Kluyveromyces lactis: one gene and its partner. The protein of the gene in region 2 interacts with the protein of the main gene of each other region in a biochemical or structural test. Links are inferred from orthologs where the notes say so. Each region holds a gene or a part of one and is shown on either strand. Other genes may lie near its edges.

Region 1 (5,080 bases), on a different chromosome or scaffold from region 2:
TAGCAGCTCTTTTGTGACGAGAATCACGAGAAATACCCATTTTGCTTTACTGTAGATAAAAGCTTTAGTAAAAGATGTTAGTAAATTTTTCTTTCGTTTGATTGCCGTTAATTAGCTTTTGCTTGTACTTTCACAGAGTAGTTATATAAGATAACTTCAGATGCCACCAACGATGTTTTCTCTTTGAGTTAATTACTTCACAAATAATTTCGCCTTCTTGGTTGTATACTATCCCGTACTTCCCACCTTCGATATTAGAAAGCCGCTTCTTTACTCGTATGAATCTCCTCAGTTCGCTAGTTTTTTGCTACACCATAACGGACTTCCCACTGATTATTCCTTGGTAACTGTCATTCACCCTCAGTGATCTAAAACATTTTCTAATTCATTCCATCAATTCAAAACTCTTTCAAATATATCTAAACATGTAATCGCACTGTTCTCTCATTGTATTGCATCCGCTGGTTACTCCACAAAGCACAATAGTACCCACGTATAAAACATACTATTTGACCTGGCTTCTTGACCTCTTCTTGTATTTCAAGAACTATCCAATACAATAACTATAGAAGGTAACAGTATATAACAGTATACAACAATTTTGTAACTTTTCACTAGATGGAAATCAAAGTTGTTCTTTCGACAAAATGGACCACACTGCCGAGTATTGGACTGCCAGAGGGAACCAGCTCGCCCAGAGAAAGGGACAGAGAAAGCGTGAGAATGGCCAAAGGTGAGCTGGAGGAGAGACTCCTGGGGAAAGATTCTGCCTAGGTGGTAGATGGAATGTTGCTCTCTGGGCAGACGGGCAGGGATATCGACGGCAGCCAGAAACTGAATGAGTGGTGTGGGCCAGAGCATTCTGAGGCCAGAGGGGGTTTACACCGGTAGTGAGTGGCTTGGGACGGCCTGGCTAACCATTATGGTATTTGTCTGTTTTAAAAATACTTATTACCTTTTTAGGTATTAGTGAAAATAAATGAAATTGAATTATGTATGGGTGTAAAATATATGTCTGGGTTGTGATAGTCCCGAAATATCACGTGACTTCTTCAAAAGAACCAGTCCTTCTTTTCCCGGTTTTCTCAACAAGTTAAAAAGAAAAACTGAAACTTTTGACATGAAATGACAATTGAGTCAATCATTACGCTCATCGCATTATGTTTAATACCTATGTCTTCATACCCAGTGCATTCAATATTCTCTAACCTAAGGGTACGGAATTGGAATAAACTTTTGGTCAACCTGGTGCTGGCATATTGAAGAGAGAAGTGACTACTAGAAGTTAACTTAAAGAGAAAGAATTAATTATTAATAGTATTAGAACAATGTCCACTTACGATGAGGTTGAGATTGAGGATATGACTTTCGACCCAGATACACAGATATTTACGTATCCTTGTCCCTGTGGTGACAGGTTCCAAATTTCCATTGATGATATGTATGACGGAGAAGACATTGCAGTTTGTCCCAGTTGTTCGTTGATGATCCAGGTGGTTTTCGACAAGGAAGACTTGGTGGAATATTATGTGGAAGCAAATCTGGAACCACCGGGTAAAATTGCTGTAGCTGTGTAAAATATTTTTGCAGCATCACCCTCGTCATTTATCTGCATTAGTTTTGCATGGTTATACAGAGTGTGTTCTTTTAGTTTGTTTATGGTTTTCTCACCACTCTTCAAGCACCGCACTGTATATAATTTCATTCTAGGGATGATTTATCAATCCTCTGGCAAGCTCCACTATCACACTTCCATCCGCACTGGACAGTCATTAAATTCAGTTCTTACCACATCATGCATATCGTTCACAAGTCCGTACTATATACCCCGGATCGTATATATGTTCTCTGTTTTAAGCATTTTCTGTATTATCTATTGTTTCTCGTATTAAACTAAATTTCATTTAAAAAAAGCGTCAATTAAAAGAATTAGAACGGAGTTTACACAGACTTCCGCTACCATGACCCTTAACACAAGGATGCTTACCACTTCAAGCCTTTCTGGATAAATTCATACTGCTGTAACTCTTTTACCATGGCGGAAGAATTGTTAAATAAACACGATCCGAAGTTGGCATATGTGGTGAAATATAATCATGATTCACCAAACCCTAGGGAATTGGCTTCCCCTTTAGAGATGAAAAGAGTCGCTAGGCCGCTAAGACATATCCATTATGTGCCGGTTAAATCGCTAATATTCTATTCCAAAAATCATCCTCCTCAGTTCTCCTATGAAACAAAGATAAAGACTCCAATATCTAAAGATGTCATTTCCGTGCAAGTGGAATATGTCGGTTTAAACCCAGTTGATTTAAAGATATTCAATAGTTACACTAGGCATATGAACTATGAAGTTGGCATTGGAAGAGAGTATTATGGAAAAATCTCAGAAGTAGGCTCAAATTTGGCAGATACGTGGAGTGTCGGTGATGAAGTTTGCGGTACTTTTTGGCATCCAAATTTAGGTAAAGGAACTTGTGAATCTACCATTTTGGTTGATCCAAAGGTTGACGTTGTTTTACCTAAGCCAGTAAACATCAGTACTCAACAAGCGGCATCTACTTTTTACTGTCTTGGAGCCGCATTCAATATCCTTGACAAGCTTGATCAAGAGGGGAAATTAAATCAAAGCAGCAATATATTGATCAATGGTGCCTCTACAATGACCGGAATATTTGCACTACAACTCTTAAAGTTTCATTACAGGATATTGAACAGAATCGTGTTAATCTCATCTACCTCCGGTATGAACTTCATTAAGTCAAATTTGCCTGAACTAGTCGATGAATTGCTCTTCATCGACTATGCAGCAACGAACGGTAAAATCTACAAACCATTAAGCGATCTAGTGGCAAGCAATGAATTGGTTGAATATAACAATGAAACTGGAAATTTTATAACTCAACCATTTGGCCAGGGTAGCTTCAATTTAGTTCTTGACTTTATTGGAGGGTATGACATTATCGGTCACTCTTCTTCCATTTTGTCCAAAGATGCTACTTACATCACAACCGTTGGCGATAATAAATCGAATTACAAGAAAGATACTTTTAATTCATGGGGTACTGCAAGTTCTAATATTAGAAAGCTGTTCGGACAGGTGCTATGGTCTTTCGATTATCAAATGTTTTATTTTGATCCAAATGCCAAATTAGCGACAAATGAATGGCCAAAAAAATGTCATGAGCTAATAGAAAGTGAAGTTGTCAAGTTTATTCCTGTAGATAGGGTATATGATTGGAAAGAACATCAAAAGGCATTTTCCTATCTGCAGACAGGCCGTGCACATGGTAAAGTTGTTTTAAAGGTAGAGAAGTTTTGAACTTTAAGCTGCACTTATGAATATGTGCTAATATCTTGCGAAATGAATTTATGAAAAGATGTTGAACGACAAAAATGACCAATGATATGGCTACGGCTTATAATCATTGTGATATTTTTAATTTTGTATGTTTTTTTGTTCTAATTGTCTCTTATGAATTGACTATTTATATATTTTTTATGTAACGCCGTCTTAAATTGTTGAAATCTCAGGTGACGAGATCATATGAACCGCTGTTGTGGCCATAGTTGGAAACATAATATCAATAATACTATACTGTACAACACTTAGAGCCTAGAAGATGCTAACATATTTGATGAACTCATTTCATTATTAAACCGACGAAAAAAATCGCAATAGCCAAGATCAGACAAAGCAGCGATTTGATGTTGCTATTCTCGCCAGGATTTTTATCCTGATCTTTCTTATCCTTCTCGGCCTTTATAAGCTCTTGAATTCTTACTCGATCCTCAGGATCCGAAATGTCGTCTAGTGAAGTTGCTTTCTCCGTGGCTAGTTTCTGTGCTTTATTTTCCTCTTGTTGTGCTCCTTTGGATTCCGCTTCCAAAGCAGCCTCCCTCTCTATGTCCTTAATATTCGACTCTCTTAAATCAGGGAACATATTCTTGAATTTGAAATTGCTATAAGTATTAAAATGTTTCGATTTCTTAGCCAGAGTCCTTTTATCCTTATCAGAGGTTGACACCGACCCCGTTGTCTGTTCATCACCTGTCATGAAACTTAAAAGGCCATTCAATATAGTCACTACAGACCATGCTGGGTTCCACGCCTCTGGATGATAATCACTCATCGAAAGACATAGTCTAGTATTTTCCTTGAATCTGCCGTTAGGCGTAATCATGCGAATCGCCGGTGGATTAAATGGGTAGTCTGAAGGGAAAGTTAACGTTCCATGATATTGACCATTCTCATACGGAGTGCTAGGTGGACCGGTAATCACGTAATGCCATTCTAATATGTTATCTTCATGTGGTGCTGCAATAATGAATGGAGGAGGGTTGTTAACAATGTTCTTGTATTCCTTAGTCAACCTTTTGTTAGCCTGTATACTTGCCATCGTACCTTTTAACACGCAAATATGAGATACTGGGATGGTAACGAGCGATAGATTGGAACTTCAAAACAGGAAACACTTGTGTAAGTCTTTCGCAGCGGACAATATACTGTTCTTGACCTTCCTAGATCCTTCAACATTGCAATACAAAAGCATTCTTTCTCTCATTTTGGCAGAAGATACAAAAAACCTTAAAGTTAAATAAAAGTTTCTTAAATACATAAAAAATTCGATTCAAATGTCAGTGGATTCTCTATAAAAAGGGGAAAATCTGGGGTACTCACCACGAGGAAAAGCCTAACAGCTGAAAGTATTACGACCTAATTTACTATGTTCGCTGAAATGACAGTATTTGCTGCCAACTACTGCTGTCTAGTCTTTGTTTCTGCCAAATATCATTATGTCATGTCACCTTATAGTATTATGTACGGAATATCTAATGGAAGAATGAAAAGCTTTAAACAGAGTTTTTTATCATGAAAAGATACAAATTTGAATGAGTCGAAAATCACATCAAGAAAGTAATTAACTTGTAGATAAGGACCAAAGTCCGAAATAATCAACTATATCGTTTAGACAGTTGCTGTTGCCATATCCAATTTCCATATTTGGTTGCATCTGGTGCTCTGGTTTCGGTTTTTTGGAACGTAATATCTACCATATACATACTGTATGGAAACGAG
Region 2 (6,600 bases):
CCCATTTCTTGGATAACTTCTAAAGTTTGTCTAGCCAATTCTCTCGCTGGTGATAGACAGATGGCCTGTGTTGAATTGACATTTGGATCTACACGAGTCAACATTGTCAATGAAAATGCTGCCGTCTTACCCGTACCAGATTGTGATTGTGCAATCATGTTATGTGGAGGATCTCTAATCAATAATGGTAAAGCTTTCTCTTGAATCTTAGATGGCTTTTGGAACTTCATTGCATACAACCCTTTCAAAAGCTCCTCAGATAGACCAAGCTCTTCAAAAGACTTTACACTATACAATGGTGAGTTTGCATCTGCCTGCAAATCGGCAAGATTAACCTTCACTTCGTATTCAGAGTTAATAACCTTGTTTGCTGGTTCTTCAGCTTTAGTCTCTTTAGCATCTTCCTTCTCAACCTTAGTTTCAGATGTTGTGTCATTGTCCTCAGATGCCTTTTTTGCAGGTTCTTTGATGTTCAAACGAGCCATCAAATCACTGGCTTCTTTGCTTAGCTGTGCCATCTTGAAGTGATTTTTTGGTTTCACCGATGGGTATGCAGTGTCACAAATTAGCAAAGACAACTTCAATAGCTTACCTCTGCTATTCTATGTCTTTAATACTTCTGTAGTTTTCAATTTCTGCAGCTTTGTAAATTTTAAACCAACGAAAGATGGAGGAAATATAGTTACCCTACCTGGTGAATAATACTAGTTACAATCGAACTAAACGAATAAATATTTATATACTGTTAATATGTGATGTAATAACTGCACTTAAGGCAGTACTGTGCAAGATATGGTCATAAATTTAGCTTGGTACGCAGTTGAAGGGATAGCATTAAAAAAAAAAAAAAAAAAATATATATATATATATGTTCATTAGAATGAGAAAGTTTTCCGTAATTGTAATTTCCAATTGATCATGACTGGATTCTGTTTGCACTGACATTGTCAGGTGTCCAATCTAAACCTAGTCTTTGGTACACTTGCAGTTGGCAATGGGACCAGACCATTGACTTTTCGTCTTTTGTTAAAGACACTTTCGTAGGTACTTCGACTAATGGCACAGGAGCTTGTTGTTGTTGCTGTTGCAAAGCCTGTTGCTGTTCAAGTTCCAATTGTTCCTCGATCTTGATTTGAGAGTTTCTTAGTAGTGCCCTTCTGAGCAGCGAATTCTTAGACTTCTTCGGTATTATTGATGGAGGTGGCATATTAGGTTTCTTTACAGTATTTTGCTGCTGAAGAATCATGTTTTGTTGGAGAGCTTGTTGTTTCAGTTGATCTAACTTCCATTTTTTGTACTCAGAACAAGCCTTCTTGAAATCAAATCTACATTGTGCCTCAACTACAATGTTAAGTAAGTAGTTCTCTATAATGTTTCTCCATTCAGGCTTCGATAGTTGCATGACTGGTTCGTGATGGCCTATTAGCTCTTCGTGTCTTTTCCTAGCTGAATTGACTGTATATTTGGCACTGGTTAGCTTAAACTCGTAGTCAAGATTAGCTTCGATATAAAGATCAGAACTTACCAACGTCGATATGATGAATTCATCTGGGGAATTCAGTGGTAATAACTGGAACCTGAACTCAGGAATAGATGGTTCCGTACCATTGTTACCCTGCAGTTGATTGAATGCTATGGTAGGAAGTTTCCCGTTCCATTCGGGCCTCAAGGACTCTATTATGAGTAACGACCTTATATCATTAATATCCCAATCTAAAAGTTCTCTCTTAGTAAAGTTCGGCCTTCCGTTGCTCATCAAATTTTGAGGATTCATCAAAATATCTGGGCTGTACATGTCGTAGAATATTGTTGGTAAAGCTTGCTCTAGTGTAAGTGTCAAAGGTTTCGAGTCCTGTTGATCTATCACAGATGACGCATCAGTAAGTTGCGTAGAAATTGTATTGAAAGAGGGTGACGAGAAAATCGAGGAACCTGTCCCTGATGACATCGTCAGCCCAGTAATAATGGACGCCGCATCCGATCCATAATCTTGTCTTGAAGATGATGCATTACTGCGGTATGAATGTAATGACCTGGCGCCACCAGTTGATCCTGAACGTTTCTGTAATAGCCGTCTCTTAATCTCATCACGAGCTCTATTGGCAAACTCTGGAGGGGCATTGACAAAATCCTTCTTTCCATTGTTACTAAGCATGGGTTGATCCTGTGGTAGACTATGCGAACTGCTACTCTTACCTTCTGGTATCGTAGCTAGGTCATTGGTTTTCCTTTTTGCGAGTACCCCAGGTAATAGATTTGTGGCCGATGTGGGCGGAGGTGAGACAAACATCTTTGTAGGAGAATATTTGTGTATATCTCGATGCCGTTTCGATTTAGTGCAAATGAATTTTTACGGCCGGTTTTTGATTCACTTTTTTGTTCCTCTTGTAAATTGTTTTCGTTAAATATGTGGCTCTGTTAACCAGCCAGAGTTTCGACCAACCTGGTAAGCCACTTTATGGGATTTTGGTGCTTTTATCAGAAAAAATATACGATAAAGGAGATCGGTTTCGAGCTTGTTCTTACTTTTTCTCTTTTTAAACGTCTGATAATCTCCGTCTCTTTGAAAGTGTTCTTTTTAAAGGAAAAATGGATATATCTAGAAAATTGAAAAATTCTGAGCCCGGAAAAAATTTGTGTCTGTATTCTACGTGGATAATCGGAAGAAAGACCGACGCACAAATGGTGATTTGAAAAAAGGTTGCTGTTTGAAGTGATACCTAACACAGGTAATACGATGACAGTTTGATACAGAACAATATATGGTAGGAATTTGGTATGTTGTATTCTTAAGTAAATTTTTGGGAATCATACGTATGGCTTGGTTAAAAGAGGGAGCCAAGTATAATATTATGCATACTTATATATATGTCAGAAGTGAAATCCACTCTGTATAGTGTGAATGGGAAAAAACCCGAGGCTGGAAACGGCGGAGAATAAACAATACACAGTGAAATACGGTCAATAAAAACGGCAGATATGTCGGGACAAAGAGCGTACGAACTTCAATTGTATGGCAATAGGCCTAGGGGGACATCTCCAGTTGTATTTTTACTTTGGGTTTGTTGCCGAACATGAATAGTTAACGAACGAATTTACTTACATAACACTTGAGACGTGAGTTTGGCATACGCACTCTACCGGGGATACTACATGAATTGAAGCCAGGGATTGCTCTGGAAACAACCTGCTGGATATTCTTCCGAGCTCTGACTATAGCTTTTGAGTGATACCCTCAGCTCATCATCCAACTGCGGATTATGCCATGTTCTGCCTTTTCTGTACGCAACATTTTTCCAGCTTCGGTAAAACTATTGGTCAATTCGCACTGGTCGGTAAATACCTTGCTTCCTTTTTTTTTTTTTTTTTTGGAGACATTCCTTAGGGAGAAAATATTATTCCAAATGAACTTTTTCAGATGTGGGGAGACATCCTTTTGCACTGAAAGGGTGTAGGAAACTGAGATATTTTTCCGGAAGACTACGTGAAAAGCTCCGGTGGCCCAGATTTTTTTTTATTGTATTTTCTTTTTGGTTGTGTTGTTCAACGAATTCGTCTACGTAAGAATAGGGTTGATATCCTTTGTGGACCGCATATGCAATAATTTAAGCATCTGTACACCGCAATGAGTTTTGGCCAGAACATTGTTCCGGGCCCGTTGTGCCCAACGATTCCTTGAATCTTGGGCATTACAAGGAGCCACGTTACAAATTTTTCCGCATGTCTCCCACTTTACTACGAAAAAAGTTGCTTCGGTCGGCCCCATAGATGCGAAGGTCGAGAATAAGATATGATGGTAGGGGAAGTGGGTCTATATTCAAGGTAAAGATTCCCAAAAATTATGAAGGGTTTATCCGGACGACATTTTTCCGAACGTGTTAACAGTTTTTTGGAGAAAACAGAGAGCCCCGGGCGTGATCAGGTGTGATGTGCTCCGGGCTGCTTATGTTTTTTGTCACATGACTGACAGGAATTATTTACCAGATAGAAACCGGAAATCTGTCAGCCAACTGCATTTAGCCTTTTCTACTACTCGTTGCATATCAAATGTGCATCAGCTGTAAACGAATGTGGTGTTTTGGTATGTCATGACACTTGCAACTACCTGACACAGCCATACCGACTCAAATCGGCGTGCTCATTCGTAATATTGTGTTTCTCTTGACATATGGCAAGTTACGAATTACTATGTTTTGGTTCCAATGGGAATGGCCAATTGGGTGTAGGACACGATGAGGACTTGATGCTGCCTCAATTGAGCTTTCAAAGTGATGGTGTTGGTATTAAAAAAGTGTCATGTGGGGGCAACCATTCGCTACTATTATTAGAAGATGGGTCGTTGTATTGGTGTGGCGATAACTCTTCTGGTCAATGCGCTTCCAGTGACATTAAAATAAGTCTCGAATGGATCCCTATTCCAGGGAAATTTCTCGATATTGCATGTGGTTGGGAAGTTACTATAGTTATTGATGAGGATGGCTGGGTTAAAACCCGTGGAAGGGGTGATAAAGGCGAATTAGGGGTACCTAGGTTGAAACACAGTACAGAATGGATTGATCTGTTCCGATGTGAAGATCCAAAAGGCTCCCGATGTTATGCAACTTTCCAGCATTGCGTAGTGGTTGTTCCGGAGAAGATATACGGATGGGGCAATAATAGGAAGCTACAAGTGTGTGACGACTCAGCCTTGAAAATCATTGAGGAACCAAAGGTGATTTATGAGGGGGATACGTCTGATATCGAGATGGCTTTAGGAAAGGACTTTACCTGTGTACTTTCCAGAACTGAAAATAAATTAATTATAAAAGGGTCATTAGCAAAAGAACTTCCCGAATTGATATCACAGTTGTCGCATGATTTCGGATCAATTGCCAAGATTGACTCTATGTGGTCCTCGTTACACATTCTTACTGGTGAACGAAAGCTTATATCCATTGGACGAGGTTCTCATGGCCAGTTTTTGGAAGAACCTCTGCCTTCAGAAACTCTGGATTTTGTTACTGGTAGTGAGCATGGGGTAGTAACTACTGCTGACATGAAAGTATATTGTTGGGGCTGGGGAGAGCACGGTAATTGTGGGTCTTTATTCAAGACAGAGACAAATCCGATCAATGACAAGAGTAACGTTATCAGCCCCCTTAATATGATAGGAAAATACGAAAAAGTTGTTAGCATCTTCGGAGGATGTGCGACCACATGGTTAGTGTTGGTTACGTGAGCACCGATTATTTTCTCTTAGCAAAGAGAAGAACGCTCTCTAATGTATATATGCATCTATGTAACAAAATGTTAAGAAGTACCTTTCCCATATTCATGTTGAAAATATAAAATATACAACCATGGCAATTAATGAAAATACCAGGCGGCTCACATGGAAAATATGTATAGACTTCTTGATTATTGATGTCTAGAGACTCGTATCACCCAAACAACTAGAAATCAAAGTAAAAATCACACTTTCCTATTCGAAAACAACAGAGAAAGATAAATCAATACGATGATTAGTAGCCCAGTTTCTTTAAAAGTCCCTTGCAAGAACCCAGATAATCACTTATCCAAGTTCTTACTGATCTTTTTAGAAGAAAAATAATAAACGATACAACTGTTAATAACGAGTTATCATATTGTAAGTATGTTGTGTGCGATGAACTTTCAGATACTTTTCGTTTTTTTTATTTTAAAACGTTCAATTTTTCTTTTTATACATAAGTCCTTCACAAGAAATAGGGCCTTAGTAACTGTAAATGGTTTATTTACTGCAATTAACTGGGTATTGCTCGTAATATTAGAGCACCTATTATAACTATCGCAAATCAGGAATCTCTTGTACTGTTTTATTGTTATGCTATCTTGCTATATCCGTGAACAATAGTAACCCGCGTATCGTTACACGAATAAATTAAGTCCGGGTAATAGTACAACTGTTGATAATCCTCGCCATAATCAGATATGTGGTCCGGGTAATATAATAAAACGATCAAAATGACGAAAGCTCAGAGTAGAGCGTATCGAGACCAGAGTGGCAACAGCTGTCACTTCTTCAGTAACAAGCAAGCTCTAACCCCCGATAGTTACAGAAACTGGAATATTCTCAACAACATAGAAAAGAACATTGGCATTTAAAGATCAGAGCTACACCAATTGTGCATCTACCTGTGCCCCGGTTCTTTATTTACCACTCACTAATATTGTTACCTCTCTTTGTTTCCACTTCTGCACAGGTTCTACTGAGTGTTTTTTCTTGTTTTCCTTTTATCAAACGGTTTTTAAGACTTTGTTTTTTCTTTGAAAGAACTAAATAAATCTTATATTGAAATTAAAACATTAAACATTAAAAGACATAGACTTCGGCAACTAAGGAAGCTTTACAGCCTCATCAGACGACTAGTTATTACTGTACTGACTGTGCTTTTTTTATTTGATATAAGAGGAGAATTTAATATAATCGAGATACTAAACCGAAAACATATTAAGAAATAAGAACTGGTCATTGGGCATATTTTGAGAGTTGTAAGATTCTAAACTGATATTGATATTTAGAAAAGCTGGAAATAACAACGAATAGAAGTTTAAACAGGAATCAACGAATAACAGCAGTGA

Evidence for each region. The genes of interacting proteins can lie anywhere in the genome.
Region 1: the proteins of ATS1 (region 2) and KTI11 are reported together in a solved structure, tested with the Saccharomyces cerevisiae proteins (2 studies listed by BioGRID, with this or other methods). The link is inferred for Kluyveromyces lactis from reciprocal best matches to the Saccharomyces cerevisiae genes ATS1 and KTI11.

The regions. Positions count from the first base shown.
Region 1 is NC_006041.1:1,813,938-1,819,017, reverse strand, and holds KTI11 (Kti11p), read left to right. Parts: upstream 1-1,328; coding exon 1,329-1,577; downstream 1,578-5,080. Other genes in the region: RPS8A (40S ribosomal protein eS8), read right to left, coding at 1-40; KLLA0_E20417g (uncharacterized protein), read left to right, coding at 2,036-3,322; E2 ubiquitin-conjugating protein UBC6, read right to left, coding at 3,645-4,400; KLLA0_E20373g (ribose-phosphate diphosphokinase), read left to right, coding at 5,070-5,080. UniProt on the Saccharomyces cerevisiae protein: Required for the first step of diphthamide biosynthesis, a post-translational modification of histidine which occurs in elongation factor 2.
Region 2 is NC_006042.1:1,471,031-1,477,630, reverse strand, and holds ATS1 (Ats1p), read left to right. Parts: upstream 1-4,168; coding exon 4,169-5,218; downstream 5,219-6,600. Other genes in the region: ATP-dependent RNA helicase DBP5, read right to left, coding at 1-518; STD1 (Std1p), read right to left, coding at 917-2,290.